Linked DNA regions of Caenorhabditis elegans. The main gene of each other region encodes a partner of the protein of the gene in region 3 in a complex. Each region holds a gene or a part of one and is shown on either strand. Other genes may lie near its edges.

Region 1 (5,228 bases), on a different chromosome or scaffold from region 3:
GTGCAAACATCGAAAATGAAGTGGCCAATTGAAATATGAGAGTGAAGAAAGAATTGGATGAGAGAGAACTTGTAAAATCCAAAAAAAAAAACATTCGACCTAATACCAACCAGTCGAGACGAAGAATGGAAGACGGCGAGACAACGAAACCAGCAGCACAGCCGCCTGCCCGCCCTATAAATTGGACTTGAAACAGAGACGACGACGACGAGGAAACTGGTGGGTCTGGCTGCGCAGTCAATGCACACAACGGCTACACCACCAGAAAATTGAGGGAGAACACAGAGCACCGTTGTGCAATTCCTCGAAGGTCCAACATCTGTTGAGGCGAAAAAAGCGCAACAGTGTTCGAGCACCTGTTCGTCAGATGGTTCAACAAAGAGATGAAAGAACATTGAAAGATTTGTGATACATGCTATATTCGTTTTGGGAAAATTTTAGATCAGCAGATTTTTTGTTGAATTGTGAACGATTTGTGGAAAAATTCTCGAAATTTTTGAAATTTTCAGCAAAAATGTTCATAACGTTGTGAGATTGCATTGGGAATCCCACCGAAACATGGCATGTTGTGAAAATATATAAAGCTTGTTTATAAATTAGATGAAACTTAAAAAAACGGGGAAAATTTGATATTAAGCAACTTGAAATTAAGTTTAAAAAACTGCCAGGAGTCTTTGATGATTGAAAAATACCTAGTAAAAATAATGCATAATCTCACGGTATAAATTTTTTATTTGAAGAAAAATTTTAAAAATTTAAGGGTGTAGAATGACAAAAGTACGACCGTTTGTAAACTTATCAAATTTTGTTTAAGAATATGTATGTATTATACAAAAAGAAGATAAATGTGTGTAAAATCATTTTTTTAAGTGGCAGTATCATTTAGTGATTTTTAAAATGCAAAACCGTTTTCAACACACTTTTAAACTACTTTTTTTGTAATGAAAAAATTATTTTCAAAAGTATTCTCGGCAAAATATCTTAGTCATATTCAAAATGGGCTATCATTGGGAGTGTTTCCATCAAGATGTTTTCACAATTTAGTAACGATTTTCAAGCCCCAATAAAAACAAAAACTATACCGCAAATACTTGTCCAGATTCACATTAGGTCCTAAAAAATATTGTCATTCGCCCTAGGATTGAACTGAAAATATAGAAAAACACTGGCATGGAAAAGCAAAAAAAAATTTTTTTTGACAAGTTCTTCTTCTTCTCGAAATTCCCATACTTATTTTTTTCCATTAGCAATTGTAATTGTTCATCATCGTTTCCATGTTCTATGACACCACTTTTCTAATGTCTTGGCTGTGTCCTTCTCCCCTCCATTGCCCATGTTCCTCTCCCGCTCTCTCAAACACGCATTAGCTAGAGATAAGGTATCCAAGGAGTGTGCAGACAGTGTGCAAACACCATCACGGCATTTTGCGGACTTCCCTTTGAAGACGACATCTTATTTTTTATTTCTTTTTGTTTATATTTATTTTTTATTGTTAACTTTCCTCTCTTATTTGTAAATTTGTATTCAACTCGATTAAATTTCGATTTTAGAATGGTTTCCACTCCATCACCGAAAACGAAAGTTTACCTGTTGGAGCAGCGGAAGAATCAAGAGCTCAACATTGAGCATATTGACGAGGAAATGAGATTGGAACAGGTCCGGCAAGCCGCATCAAAAATGGAATGGACATCATTCGGGCAGGCTGTGAGGCGAAACTTGTTGGTAACTATTTTCTTTAAACTTATTTATTGTGAAAGACAATTTGAAAAATGCATGAATTGCAGGAAAAACGTAACACAATCGATGCTGATGGTAGAATTGACGTGCTCAACGGGATTGCGTACATGAAAACAAAAATGCCAATCGAGGAAAACAATCTGATGGAGGAGAAGATACGGGTTATGGCTGAGAGTCTTGGGTAAGTTTTCAGTTAGAGAAATGGCGTTAAATTTAGAAAACTGCCATAAAAACCTGGCTTTTTTGGAACCTAGAATTTAACTGCTAAAAATGATAGAGCATTTCCTTGCACCTATTTTTCACATGCATCAAAATGTATAATTTTTGAGTGCTCTTAAGGTAGAATTCATTTGCCGATTGAGCATTAATAACTTGGAAATCTATTTTTCGTAGCACCTGTTGCTTCAAGAAAGAAAAAAATCAAAAAGGAGTAGACCCACATATACTTCAAATTTTCTGAAACACTGTCAAGTTTCATGTTTTCTTGAAGAACCAAAATCAGTTCCACATCGGACCCTAGTTTGTAATAAAAATATTGTACTTGTATCCAAGATTGAGACGCAAACCTGTCAAAAACTAGAAGAGTTTACCGACTGCCAATTGCTAGAAAATAATCGCGTACTAAATATACAAAATTAAGAAAGTGAGCACCTACTCAATTTCTCTGAAATCTTTACACATTATTACATTTCACAAATAAATGAAAGTACTGCACAACATTTGTTTCTCGATAGACTAGTTTCCTTTTAAAAAAATTAGAAACCTGGTACGTTGGAGTCCGACAAAACTTATACATATTCCAACGTTATCCACTTGAAATTTGCCTAGCCATAACTTCTAATCGCTCAAAATTTATTAAAATACATAGCTCACTTTTATTTCCAGATGCTTGCACAAACAAACTTCTCGCGGATGGTCCATCAATCGTCAAGAAGATCTCATCATGGACTTTACTGTCAACGATGGTGAAGTGACAACCGTTGTGCTTAGTTTTTGGGAAGAGCCTTCATTCTACTCCCCAGAAGCTACAAGAATGCTCCAGTTAGGGATGTGGACAGAGCTTCGAAACCGAATCTCAGATATGCTGTTGACGTATGATAAGTTGTTGAGCAGGTATGTTGTTTGACTTTGAGCAAAGCAAAAAATAATGCTTCTAGAACTCACTCCCATTTTTCAGAGACGATCGTAGAAACTGCATGGGAGCTATGAGAATGCTCGAGATGCTTTTTGGACACTTCTCTCAAGACCCTTCCTACACTTCAATTCACAGATCCAACTATGGGTAACTTTATAATTATTTTTTTAATGAAAAATTTTAATTTTAGTTTCTACCTTCCACGTAATGATCTCCGCGCAGGGCGTGTATATTATTTGGCGGAACCACACTTTCGGAACATTCGCTCCAAGGATCATATTTTCCAGTTACAAAAGGATGATCACGAAGTTTTGCCATACTTTGAATTTTCGTTTGCCAAGCATGATAGCCCGTGTACACTTCCAGAGTTTGACACAAAGTGAGTTCATTCACATCTTAATATTATTGAAAATTGTAAATTTCCAGAGGCTGGGCAGAATCTATTGAAGCAAACGCTGTGATTTGTATGAAGCTATCCAGAGGGTTCAATCTTACTGAAACGACTAGAAAGAAGTTGGGAGCAATCAGTGCAAAGACTCCATCCGTTAAGCATTTCACAAATAGCTATCGCTACGTGACTGGAGCGGTGAAGATTGAGAACAACCTGCAGATGATTACACAGTTTGGCGATGGACAAACTCAACACTTCTACAATGTCGATGTGAACCAGTTGCGCAATGATGGTGACTCTGTGATCACTGAGATTTATTTGAAGCATTTGCAAGATTTTCATGAGGTAAGCAGTAGTAACATAGATTGTATTTTAAAAGCGCCAGTTTCATGATTCAATTAGCAAAAACATAAACATTTGAGTATCTTTTTTGTTTTGAGAAAATAAGCATACATGCTAATGCATGCTTTACATAATATGGACACACATTTTGCAACTTTCGGTTTTTTGCCACAGGGAATTATTGAACTTTGTGAGTCCGTTCAAATACTAGAAGTAGAAATATTATTTAAGACATCATTAACATATGTAGTCAGATATTCCACTACTCGATAAAAATAAATTATAATTGCAGATAATTGCAATTCTTCGCAACGAAGCCATGCATATCAGCCTTTGGGAGTCGATGATATCCGCGTGTTATGAGAAGCAGGGTATGAAAAAGCACACGGTTGCCGCAATCAAGATGGACGTTTTTCTGACAAGAGAGCAAATTGTAATCACCTTTGATACAAAATTTGCGCCGGTCAAAGGTGAGTTCTAGATAGATAAAGTGTTTAATATTAAGTAAATTTGCAGTTGTAATCCAGGATAGTGGAGTTTGTGAGGCAAAGGTGAATGTTGTGCATGCACAGACAGGCCTCCAGATTGCTGAAAAGATTGATGAAACATTGAGCAGAAAACTCAATGAGTAAGTTGAAACCGTACACTAACGCAAACGCAGGACTTGTTGCAAAGTTCCTGAGAATGTCAATAGCAGTTTTGGTGCCAACTCTTTGTCCATAGAACATCCTAGAGAAAACATTTGAAAATTTCAGAACTTGGAGCATTCCAAATATGCTTACCTACGCCGTGTCGGGTAGTGACTGCAACTTGGCAAAGATCAAAGTTCCGTTGAGAAGTGAAAACCCGGAGACTGTGGGCCCAATTCCAACTTATGCGGCTGGACGTTCCTTCTAACGGATTTTTGACTTATGATGTGTTTGTATAGTTTTTGTTTTATTATATACTTGAGCCTTATTTGATACTCATTTTGATTGTTGTGAATGTTTGAAATTAAGTTTTATATGCATTTGTATTATTTAAAATTTGCCATCTGAATTTTTCAAAGAGCTGAAAAGCAGAAAAAAATGATTAGAGGTTTTTTGCATGAATACTGAAAGTTGATTACTTAGGGTCAAAAATATCTTTAATAGTCAAACTGGGCAATATTTTCTTTAATTATGTCAATTGTAAGCTTGCTGAAAATATATAAAAGTAGCTCTAGTTGCCCAAAGACCTCGAAAGTTTACCCAAACAACTAAATTTCATAATGAGACTTTTCAAAGTTTTTAAAATATTTTACATTGCAGTTCAAAATTTCAAAAAAAAACTGTTCAATTCAGCTAAAATCTTCAATATTTATGTTTGTATGTGGCACATGGCCGGAAATCAATGTTCATTTAATGATCATTGAAATTTTGACCTTTCTTAAAAAGTTTTAAAACATTTTTGAGAAATCCGATTGCATAATTTTGTAATTTGGGATTAATATAATTTACAAACTCTGTTTAAGCATGAAAACCCAAAAAATTGATTTTTTGACAAATTCATTATTGACAGAAACTATATCCATAATTACGTATATGTTACAAATTTGACAGGAGACTGTTGTGGAAAGAAACGGTGATAGCATTATAAAGTTTT
Region 2 (5,871 bases), 5.9 Mb from region 3:
AGAAGGGCAAGCTGATGATAGGAGGAGGAGGCAAAACAATCATTTATAGAGGACAACAACAACTGAATCCATTCCACGAAGACTCGATTTTCTTTTTTGTACAGGTTTTGTGCAACTGAGCAATTCAATTCAGACGAGGCGGAGTTTAGAACGGATTTGACCTGAAAATTAGAAAACATTGATTGAGAAGAAAACAGTTTGTTTAAAAAAAACTGTCTTCTAATTTTTTTAAAGGTTTGCGTTTTTAAAGAGTACTGTAATTTTAAAATCATGTTTCAAATCATATTAATTGTGTTTTCATTGTCAAATTCGGGTATTTTTTTTAGATTGACAGGTATATATTTTTTTAATCAAAAAACGATGAAAAAATAGAGTACTCTTTAAAGACGCACATATTTTCGCATTTGACCAACATTTTTCGTGTCGAGACCGGTTACCGTAATTTTGGTGAAAAATCGTAAACTTTCGCGTTTGAGTAATACTTTTTGTAAAGTTATTACAAAAATTAAAACTTTCCGGAATTTTTTCACTTCCAACTTTATTTTATAATGTTTTTCATATTTTTTATTATTTTACAAAAATAAACATTGAATAACAAAACTTTTAGTGAGCAGGCACAAAAAAAGAAACTTAATGCACTCTACCTAACTTACAAGTTAAGATTATCGTAGAAGAAATCGTTGCCCACGTTGAAAGCGACGTCTAGACCACCGCTTGTCTGGTTTTGGTATTGATTCACTTGTTCTTCCTGTAGAAAATTATAAATTTAAAATTCAATTTGAAGTGCAATTTTCATAAATTTCCCTTTCTCAGCGAAAGAACTTACCCAAGCATTCAAATAGTCAGTAATTGACGAAAGACCGGGTCGTGATAATCTCTCATATACTGAATTTTGTAGATCATCATACAAATATGCATCCAAATCAATGACTGCTCGATCTACAGTCACATTTCCAGCTGGATAAGTGGTTGGAACAACGAGTCGAAGTGGTGGGAACTGTTGATTACGGATTTTACAGACGACAATGATATGATTGGCATCATGACGTTGATGGTTTGGATCAATCTCGAATCGAGCATCAAGGATTTGAAGTTCCTTTCTTGCTGTTTCATTGAGATTTGATCGTTGAACTGGTGGACCAGCCTGAATATTTATTGATTGAGATTATTGATTGGCTGTTGATTTTTTTTTTGTAAAAATAGATTTTTTGGTAATCTTGTTGGTTTTTTCGGACCAAAAAAAGAAAAAAAAACTGAATTGCGAAAATGTTGATTTTTAGTCGGGAGAAGAAAAAATACGAAAATGTTTTGTTTTTGGTCTAAAATGTTTTTGGTGTCCCTGTTTGAGATCAGAGGTTTTTCGTTTTTCGATTTTTTTTTTCGTGTTTTCGGCGACACAATTATTTTTCACTTTTTTCAAAAATCATTTGAGGATACTTTGTGTGTTTTTTTTTTTTGAAAGCTGAGAAACTCAATTTTTAATATAAAACTTACATTCATCGAATTCTGCCCGACGTGCAATGTTGGCTGAAGTGCATCAATCGGCGTTGGGTTTGGAAGGAAATCATCATAGTTCAGATCATCAAGTCCTGACATTCCACCCATTGATCCAGGTGTTCCCATTTTTTGATTCGGTGTACCCATTGGATTCATTGAAGGGGCTCCAGAACTTGGACCTGACATACTTGATCCACTCATCGAATTACGATCTCTTCCAATTGGTCCAGGACCATTTGGCATTCTCATATTGTTTCTCATCGCTGCAGGATTCGGGTATGGAGCATGACGATGATTGTTGACTGGTGATGTCATCGGATCGTGTCCCATATCTCCACGATACATTCCATGAACTGGACCACCTCCACCCTGCATCATCATATGATCCTGTGGCATCATTCGTTGCTGCTGTTGGTGTTGCTGTTGATGCCACATTGGTGGTTGATGCATTTGCATATGTGGTGGTGGAGGTCCCATATACTGCTGATGTCCATAACCTGGATGTCCTCCGTAGGGATTTGGCACCTGACCATTACCCAACATAGCATGTTCACCGTTCATCATCGGATCGTTCATTCCCATATGATTCTGATTCTGTGACATTGGAGCAATATTCAAGAAGTCTTGCTTTCTGGCAATCCACATCTCCAAATGGTTCAAGTATTCAAGGCTAACCACACGTTTTCCTTCGAGCACACTGAGCATAACCTCAAGCTTGTGAGCAGCTTCATGGTTACCCTCATGTCTGCATTGCCTTGCTCGTGTTCTCAAACTGTCGCAGCTTCCACGCATATTTCTCAATTTCGCAGAATACACGGTTTGATCCTCGGAACTCATCATTCCCTGGTTTGGAACCATTCCGGGTCGTTGCTGTTGCTGCTGTTGTTGTTGTTGTTGCTGTTGTTGGGCAGCTGCACGTTGAGCAGCAACATTTCGATCTCCAGGTGGGCCCATCTGATTGTGATGTCCTGGATATTGTTGAGGCTGATTGATAAGTGATTCAAGAACTGATGAAGGACCGGTTGGAGTGGCTCCTTGACCGTTCATTGGTCTTCCAGGATATCCATGTGGTTGTTGTGGTGGCATTGCACCCCATTGTGGTTGTTGTTGATACATATGTGCTGAAGGATCCCAAGGACGAGCTTGATCCATCTGAAAAAAAAATTAATCAAAAATTGAAAAATTAGCAGATTAAAAAAAAATACATTTGAAAAATAAACTCACATCCTTTTTAATCTGCTGATTGTACGGATTTCCACCCATTGGAGCACCACTACCAGGTGGTCCATTCATCATACCGTAACCACCGTATCCATTCGGTGGTCCACCCATATTTGGAGCACCCATTTGCGGTGGTGGCTGACCCATTGCTGGTCCACCATTCATCTGGCTGCTTCCATTTGGGAATGGAACATTTGGTGCCGGCGTCGGACCTCCACCGGGTGCCTGTGATCCTGGAGTGATCTGTCCACCTGGACGAATACTTGTATCTGGTGATGGAAATGAAGCAACCGCGGCGGCAACAGCAGCAGTGGCAGAAGCTGATGGAGCAGGCAATCCTCCTGGCGGATTTGGTGCTGATGGAGTTGTTGATGCCTGTGTTGTTGCTACGGTAACAGGTGGATTTCTTGCCTGAGCTGATGTTGGTTGTGGATCTGGAGGCACAGGAGCTCGATATCCGGGTGTTCCGCCAGCCGGAGTGTTTCCTAATAGAGCTAATTGAAATTTTAGATTTTCGTTGCCACAAAAAACTACAAAAAGTTACCTGCTGTCGTACACGGCGGACTATGAAACTGTGATGGTTGTAACACGGAAGGCACTGCCGCTGATTTACTATTACAATTGATAGCATTAATCACTTTTGCGATCGTCCTCATATATTCGTCCTTCGACATACACTTTGCGAACACATATTCTTCGACCTGCCTCGCGTCACCGGGTACTGGTAAATTTGGGGCATTCTGCCGGTTTCTCGCCAACTCAGGCTCACTGAAAATTGGAAAATTTTTATATTTCGGGATTTTTTTTTCATTTTTAAAAAGAGTACAGCCTGGATACATTTGTGACATCAGCTCCTATGGTTTATAATTTACAAATACTTGGGAATTTATCAAAATTTTGAATGGAAATTTTTGGAAATTTTCAACAAAAAAAAAATTTTTTAAAATGTTTTCTCGGTTATCAAAAAAATATTCCTTTAAAAAAAGCTTACAGTCTCTGAATAACATGCTCTCGAAATTTCGGCGAAGGCCAATCCTCTTCGCTCATCTTTCTACTCTGCTCTTGTTTTTGAAATGTTGCTTTTGCAAGCGATTCAACAACCGTCGACGTCAACGTGGCGGCGGCTTTCTGAGCGTCTTGATTCACACACAATTATCGACAAGAAGGAAAATGAAGAACAAATCAAAACGACGAACGCGGCAAACGAAAAATAACGACGATTCCTGCAAAAGAAATAGAATAATGGATGGTTGAAAGTGGGGAAAAATTGTCACTTTTTGTATTATGGTGCATCGATCTATTGTGATTCAACTTTCAATTCACAAAAGATCAGGATGGAAATATCAAAAAGTTCCCCATTTTCTCACCTCTTGTTCTCGTCAATAGTCGACGAGCCGGCAAAATTTTCGGATCGCCGACGGCAAAATCACTTTTTGATTCGTTCCCCGGTTTGACCTGAAATTAGGAATTGAAAAAAATATTTAGCGATGTTGAACGAAGAAGAGATTAATAATAAAGGAATACGGATAAGGAGACGGATAAGGAGAAAAAAATAAACGGAGTTGAGAGAGATAAGATATCCCAAACGCTTGAAATTAAGAAAGAAAAACAAATAAAAATAGGCAATTATGAGATAGAGATATTCTGTAGGAGAAATGGACCAGAGAGATAAGATATTCAGAACGCTGAAAAACGTTAAATTTTTTAATGGAAGATATGTGGTGGTTAGTATTATTTGGAAGATTTGGTAAGTTTTAAAAAAACTGAAAAATGTTTGAAATTTTCAAACAAAAAGTTCACTTTCACATCAAGATGTGAATTGTCTAGGTTTGCTCCGTGCAGCATCATGTTCCGCGAGTCCATTCGGGCATAACGACGCAGGCAATTCAACGAGAACCTGGAAAATTTAAAAATTAAATGTTTTGTGTATAAAATTTTGTAAAGCAAGGGGACATACATTTCGCGTCAACGTAATTCTTCTAGTTTTTGACAAAAAAACGGCACCCGGTCTCGACACGACACTCTCTTGATGAATGTGAAAGGTGTGCGCCTTTAAAGAGTACTGTAACTCCAAACTTTAATCTCAGTCGAATTTTTAAAGATTTTTCATTGTTTTTCGATAAAAAAATATATTTATGAATTTATGGGAAAACTCAATGAAATGAAAATTTGAAATTACCGCAGTAATGAAAATTTGAAGTTACCGAACTCTTTAAAGACGCAGACCTTTCGCAGTTAACAACAATTTCTGTCGTGTCGAGACCGGGTACCGTATTTTCGGCGCAAAAATTGTAGAATTAATCACAACATTTTTTTGTTTTAAATTGCTCTAGAACGCTGAAATATGTTCTTATCTTATGGAACGTTTTACCGGTCTTATCATTCCCGAATAATTTTCATTTTCTTACAAAAAAAACGAATTCCGTTTTCCGCCTAACAAAAAATCCATTTTCGTCGCAGAGAGAAAACCAGCTCAAGTGCAAGAAATTAGGCAACCTTCCAGCACCACAACACATGTGTGAAGTGCCGGAGAGCGCGCGCGAAAAAAGACGAAAGGGAATTCGGTTAGCGCGCACTGGAAAGTAAACCAATTACACGTGTGTTGGAAGGTGTCCGTCCACAATTTTTACCTGCTTCAAGTCGAAATAGACGGCAGTATCGTCAGGTGTGAGGAATGTGATTGCTTTTCCATGTTTGCCAGCTCGACCTGAAATTTTGGAAAGAATTATCAGATGTTATCGAGAATTAAACTAGAAGTGTGGAAGATTTCAAATATTTAGCTTCAAAATTTAAGAAAAATGTGCACTTTTTTCAATTTTTAAAAGAAAAACTTCTGATTTCAAATTATGAGAGCACCAGTCAAGCTGGGAGCCTAAGATATCGTATTAGAACTTATGGGTCAAAATAAAAACACAAAAATACGACACTGCCAAGTGCAATAACAATGTGAAAAATCAACGCAAGAAGAAAAAGAAAACGAAAAGGGGGAGCAAATCATTTATCACCAAACGAGCGTGTCGACGAAGCAGCACCACCACGCGGTCGGTGAGCCAGATAGAGAGAGAGATAGAGAGAGAGGGAAAGAGCCCGAGCAACTGGCGACATTTTCTAACAGAGAGAGAGTTCGGTGCTGATTGCCTGAGCAAAGACGAA
Region 3 (4,987 bases):
CCTAGGCCACGGCCACCGTACCGACGATCACGTGCTCCGAAGACGGTTGAAATGCTTTAATTGTGGCGGTGACCGTAGTTCGTTCGCACATTTCGATGGTGGCTGGCTTGTCGGCGGATTTCTGGAATTTTTCGAGAATTTTCGGGGAAAAATGGCACAAAAATTGGGATTTTTGGAAAATTTTCAGTTTTTAGACTTGAAAAATGAGAAAATCGGTGGCTTTTTTCAAAATTTTCGCTGAATTTTTCAGATTTTCACCAAAAATATCGATTTTTTGAGAGGTTTTGTAGATGAAATGTCCAATTTTCACCTGCAAAAAGCTCAAATATCGCTCCCGGAGCACAGCTTGTCGCCTCTGTTGCTCTCCTTCTGCTTCTTGTGTGCTCTGGGCCATCTGGAAGTGGTTTTGCTAGGGTTTTAGGCTAGATTTAAGAGAATTTCAGATAAAAAACCATGGTTTTTGCCAATAGAATAGGAAAATGAGGAGTATTAAATTTAAAAAAAAAATCAAATTTTAAATTTAAAAATACCCAAATTCTGGGGGAAAAGTGTAAAAAATGGGCAAAAATACAGAAAACAGTTAAAAATTAAATAAAAAGAAAAAGAGATCACAGTTTTTCGAAATTTAAGAAATTTTGGAATTTTCAAGGGAAAAATTTGAAAAAAAATCGATTTTCTCTGGGAATTTCTAATTATTTAAAGTGGTGGAAATCGATTTTCAATGGGGAAAAATTGGCAACTTTCTAGAAAAATGGGGGAAAATTGAATTAAAAATGATTATTTTTGAGGAAAAAAATTTAAAAAAAAAAAGATAAATTACCCACAATTTTTCAAATTTAGCAAATTTTCAGTAGAAAAAAGGGTAGAAAATCAATTTTGAATGGGAAAAAATGAATGAAAATAAATTAAAATTGACATATTTTAAAGGGTTGAAAAATCGATTTTAAATGGGAAAAATCCCAATTTTAATAGAAAGTCATGAAAGTTTATATGAAATTGAAATTTTCACGGAAAATTAGGCAAAATTTTTTCTGGATTTTAAGGAATTTTCAAGAGGAAATGGACTAGAAAATTGATTTAGAATTCTCAATTTTCCGGGAAAATCGGCCCAAAATAATTTTTTGCTATGAAAATCAATTTTCTCTGGGAATTTCTAATTATTTAAAGTGGTGGAAATCGATTTTAAATGAGAAAAATCGAAAATTTCAAGAAAAATAGGGGAAAATTAATTAGAATTTAACTATTTTCAGGGGCAAAAAGGGATGAAAAATCGATTTTAAATGGAAAAAAAGTTGATTTAAAATCGAAAAATTAAGGAAAAATCACAAAAAAAAATGGAAATCGGCTGAAAACATGGAAAAAAAACATGAAAATCGATATGAAATTGAAATTTTCACAGCAAATTAGGCAATTTTTTCTGGATTTTAAAGAATTGTCAAGAGGAAATGGACTAGAAAATTGATTTTTTTTTCTCAATTTACCAGAAAATCGGCCCAAAATAATGGAAAAATGATGAAAATTACAATAAAAAATCGGCAAAAATCGGCAAAATATAATAATTATTCACTGGGTCTCGAGCTCATTTGTGTCTTTGAAATCTCGGCAAGCTTCTTCTGAACAACTCCGACGAGCCGATTGCTGTCGCCGACGAGTCCGACGAGCTCATTCACTTTTTCTCGCTGCTTTTCGTCGTTTTTTATCATTTTCTCCTCGACTTCCGCTTCCTGGTTGCCCGCTTCGATTGGGAATGAGTCGATGAGGATCTGAAAATTATTTAATTGGTTTTTTCCCGAAATTTTAAGCTGGAAATTGAATTTTTTCGATTTTTAGCCATTTTTCACCCAGAAAATCGAATTTTCAAAAGAATTTCGACCTAAAATTCGATTTTTTTGAGATTTTTTTCAAGAAAATTATTAATTTTGTTCTATTTTTCACCCGGAAAATCGAATTTTCACAATTTTTTTCAAATTTTAACCCGAAAATTGAATTTTTCGACAGAAAATTGGATTTTTTTTGCTGTTTTTTGGGTAGAAATCACGATTTTTTCGGCAAAAATGAGAATTTGCTTAAAATTTTCAATAAAAATTGGATTTTTCTGTACTTTTTTGGCTGAAAATTAATTTTACTGAAACTTTTGTGGAAAGTGGATTTTTTTTAATTTTGAGTTTTTTTAAATTTTAAATTAATTTTTTTTTTCGGCTAAAAATGTGGATTTTTGAATTTTTTTAAAGAAAAATTTCGATTTTTCTTCATTTTTCACCCGGAAAATCGAATTTTCACAATTTTTTTCAAATTTTCACCCGAAAATTGAATTTTTCTGAAATTTTTTGGCTGAATATTGTAAAATTAATTTTTTCAGCCAAATTTTCAGAAAATCCTAAGCAAAAAGCTTCAGAAAAGCAGTTTTTCTCGTTTTTCAAACTATTTTATATTCCAGGAAACAATAATTTTCAAAAATTACAAAAATCCTCATTTTCAGCCGAAAAAAATTTAATTTAAAACTAAAAAAAACTCAAAATTAAAAAAAAATCCACTTTTCACAAAAATTTCAAAAAAAAATCTAATTTTCAGTTAAAAAAAATAGAAAAATACAAATTTTAAATTTTTGTCGGGTAAAAATGAGGATTTTTTTGTAATTTTTTGAATAAAAATTAGGGTTTCCTGGAATTTTCTGGAATTTTTTGAGTTAAAACAGGCTAAAAATAGTTTGAAAAACGAGAAAAACAGCTTTTCTGAAGCTTTTTGCTTAGGATTTTCTGAAAATTTGGCCGAAAAATGCTCAATTCTATAGAAAACCTCAATATTTTTAGCGGCTTTTGCAATTCCAGCGGCAAAAATCGCGCAATTTGGCTCATCCTCAAGCTCCTGTGAAATTGCTCCAAATTCACATGGCGGAGCAGTCGCCTGGAGCACTCCAATCGCATTTGTCATTAATCCGGCCATTTCGTTAATCATATCCTGTAGTTGGGTCATTCGATCAGCCATTTTCAAGAGTTTTTGGGCTGAAAATGAGCTTGAAATGTAGTTTTTAATAAAAAATTGGAATTTTCGTATAAAAATTGGTCGAAATCCTCTGAAAATTCGAGAAAATCAGATAAAAATGCATTAAAATGGAGTGAAAATTCATTTTTTTTTTCAAATTTTTTCCATTAAAAATTGATTTTTTTGAGTTGAAAACCTAAAAATCCTTATTTTCTGCGATTTTTAAGGTATTTTTCTGATAAAAAACCGGATTTTATGCGTTTTTTGGAACTTTTTAGGAATTTACTAGTAGAAATTTGAATTTTTTGAAGATAATTGGCTAAAAAACTTTGAATATTTGAGAAAATCGGATAAAAATTATTTTTTTTCTTCAAATTTTTACCAAGAAAAATTGATTTTTTTGAGTTGAAAAACTAAAAAAAATCCTTATTTTCTGCGATTTTTAAGGTATTTTTCTAATAAAAAACCGGATTTTGTGCGTTTTTTGGTACTTTTTAGGAGGTTTTCTAGTAGACGTTTGAATTGTTTAGACGAAACTTGGCTAAAACTCTGAAAATTCGAGAAAATCGGATAAAAATGAATTAAAATGGAGTGAAAATCGATTTTTTTTTTCAACTTTTTACCATGGAAATCTAAATTTTTTGCGTTGAAAATCCATACTTTCTGATACTTTTTTGGTAGTTTTCTGATGAAAAGTTGGTCGAAAGGCTCTGAAAATCGGATAAAAATGAATAAAAAATGAGTAAAATTAATTTTTTTTTTAATTTTCAATTAAAAATTGAATTTTTTTTGCGCTGAAAACCAAAAATTCTAGTTTTCTAGCGACTTTTTAGAGAGTTTTCTGATGAAAAATTGGATTTTTGGCTTCAAATTGATAGTTTTCATGGAATTTTTGCTGTAAAAGTGTTTTTTTCAGGTAAAAATAGGGTTAAAACCCATTAAAAAAATAGAAAATGGAAGTAGAAAAACATGGAAAAATAGTATTTTATGGCAAAAAAAAAAGTGAGACAAAAACCAGGAAAAAAGGGTGGAAAAGCACATAATTACACTGAAAAAGAAGCCTATTTCTCTGCATTTCTATCACTTTTATCCCAAAACCAATGATCAGAAATCCATCCGGCTCTCTCTGGAGGCCATATTCTCAGGCTGAGCCTTATCTGAACAAGGGCTTCAGGTACCGGGCCGAAATGTCTGGAATCTGTTGAAACTGGGCCGTTGTCACCGCGAAGGAATACGTGACCAATTGGAACTCTGCCAGATGGAAGCAAATGGGAGGTTACTGGATCGCCTTCCTGAAAAAATTGAAAATTTTATGGGTTTTTTTTAATGAAAAATAGCATTTAAATTGGCTAAAAACATCTGAAAATTTGAAAAAATCGGAAAAAATTGAATTTTTCAAGGAAAAATTATTTTTTTTTCGACTTTTTTTGGTGGTTTTGGATGAAAAATCGGATTTTTAAACGAAAATTGGCTAAAAACATGACACTGGGTCGCCTTCCTGCAAAAATTGAAATTTTAGGGTTTTTTTCTCGGGAAAATCGGAGCAAATTGGATTTTTTGCGTTAAAAACCTGAAAATCCTCGTTTTTTGCGACTTTTTAGGTGGTTTTCTAGGAAAAATCGAATTTTTGAAATGAAAATTGGCTGGAAACAACTGAAAGTGCAAGAAACATCTGAAAATTCGAGAAAATCGAAAAAAAAAAGATTTTTTTGCGTTAAAAACCATAAAATCTTCGTTTTTTGCGACTTTTTAGGTGTTTTTTTTAAATAAAAAAATCTGGGGTTTTTTGAACGAAAATTGACTTTTTTTTGCGTTTTCTGGCTTTTTACAGATTTTTTCCATAAAAATCCTCGTTTTTTGCGACTTTTTAGGTAGTTTTTTGATGAAAAATCGGGTATTTTAAAGAGATTTTCGGCTAAAAATGCATTTTTTGCAGATATTTCTATGCTTTTTTTTCAGGTTTTTCCTCTGAAATTATGGCTGAAAATGGAATTTTCAAAGATTT

What was found. The genes of interacting proteins can lie anywhere in the genome.
Region 1: mdt-21 (region 3) and mdt-1.2 share a complex: the UniProt entries of both Caenorhabditis elegans proteins name them as parts of the mediator complex.
Region 2: mdt-21 (region 3) and mdt-15 share a complex: the UniProt entries of both Caenorhabditis elegans proteins name them as parts of the mediator complex.

What each region holds. Positions count from the first base shown.
Region 1 is NC_003284.9:17,149,972-17,155,199, forward strand, and holds mdt-1.2 (Mediator of RNA polymerase II transcription subunit 1.2), read left to right. Parts: upstream 1-1,550; 5' UTR 1,551-1,551; coding exon 1,552-1,722; intron 1,723-1,784; coding exon 1,785-1,918; intron 1,919-2,622; coding exon 2,623-2,850; intron 2,851-2,914; coding exon 2,915-3,019; intron 3,020-3,062; coding exon 3,063-3,251; intron 3,252-3,298; coding exon 3,299-3,608; intron 3,609-3,897; coding exon 3,898-4,075; intron 4,076-4,121; coding exon 4,122-4,233; intron 4,234-4,360; coding exon 4,361-4,502; 3' UTR 4,503-4,676; downstream 4,677-5,228. UniProt on the Caenorhabditis elegans protein: Component of the Mediator complex, a coactivator involved in the regulated transcription of nearly all RNA polymerase II-dependent genes.
Region 2 is NC_003281.10:5,829,573-5,835,443, forward strand, and holds mdt-15 (Mediator of RNA polymerase II transcription subunit 15), read right to left. Parts: upstream 4,174-5,871; 5' UTR 4,086-4,173; intron 3,942-4,085; 5' UTR 3,905-3,941; coding exon of another isoform or gene 3,812-3,904; 5' UTR 3,766-3,811; coding exon 3,710-3,765; intron 3,487-3,709; coding exon 3,263-3,486; intron 3,213-3,262; coding exon 2,722-3,212; intron 2,650-2,721; coding exon 1,495-2,649; intron 1,145-1,494; coding exon 827-1,144; intron 749-826; coding exon 650-748; 3' UTR 553-649; downstream 1-552. Other genes in the region: R12B2.13 (uncharacterized protein), read right to left, coding at 3,812-3,904; R12B2.6 (uncharacterized protein), read right to left, coding at 4,450-4,581. UniProt on the Caenorhabditis elegans protein: Component of the Mediator complex, a coactivator involved in regulated gene transcription of nearly all RNA polymerase II-dependent genes.
Region 3 is NC_003281.10:11,775,642-11,780,628, reverse strand, and holds mdt-21 (Mediator of RNA polymerase II transcription subunit 21), read right to left. Parts: upstream 3,009-4,987; 5' UTR 2,986-3,008; coding exon 2,797-2,985; intron 1,764-2,796; coding exon 1,560-1,763; 3' UTR 501-1,559; downstream 1-500. Other genes in the region: C24H11.5 (Gem-associated protein 7), read right to left, coding at 22-121, 311-394; immp-1 (Peptidase S26 domain-containing protein), read right to left, coding at 4,044-4,274. UniProt on the Caenorhabditis elegans protein: Component of the Mediator complex, a coactivator involved in the regulated transcription of nearly all RNA polymerase II-dependent genes.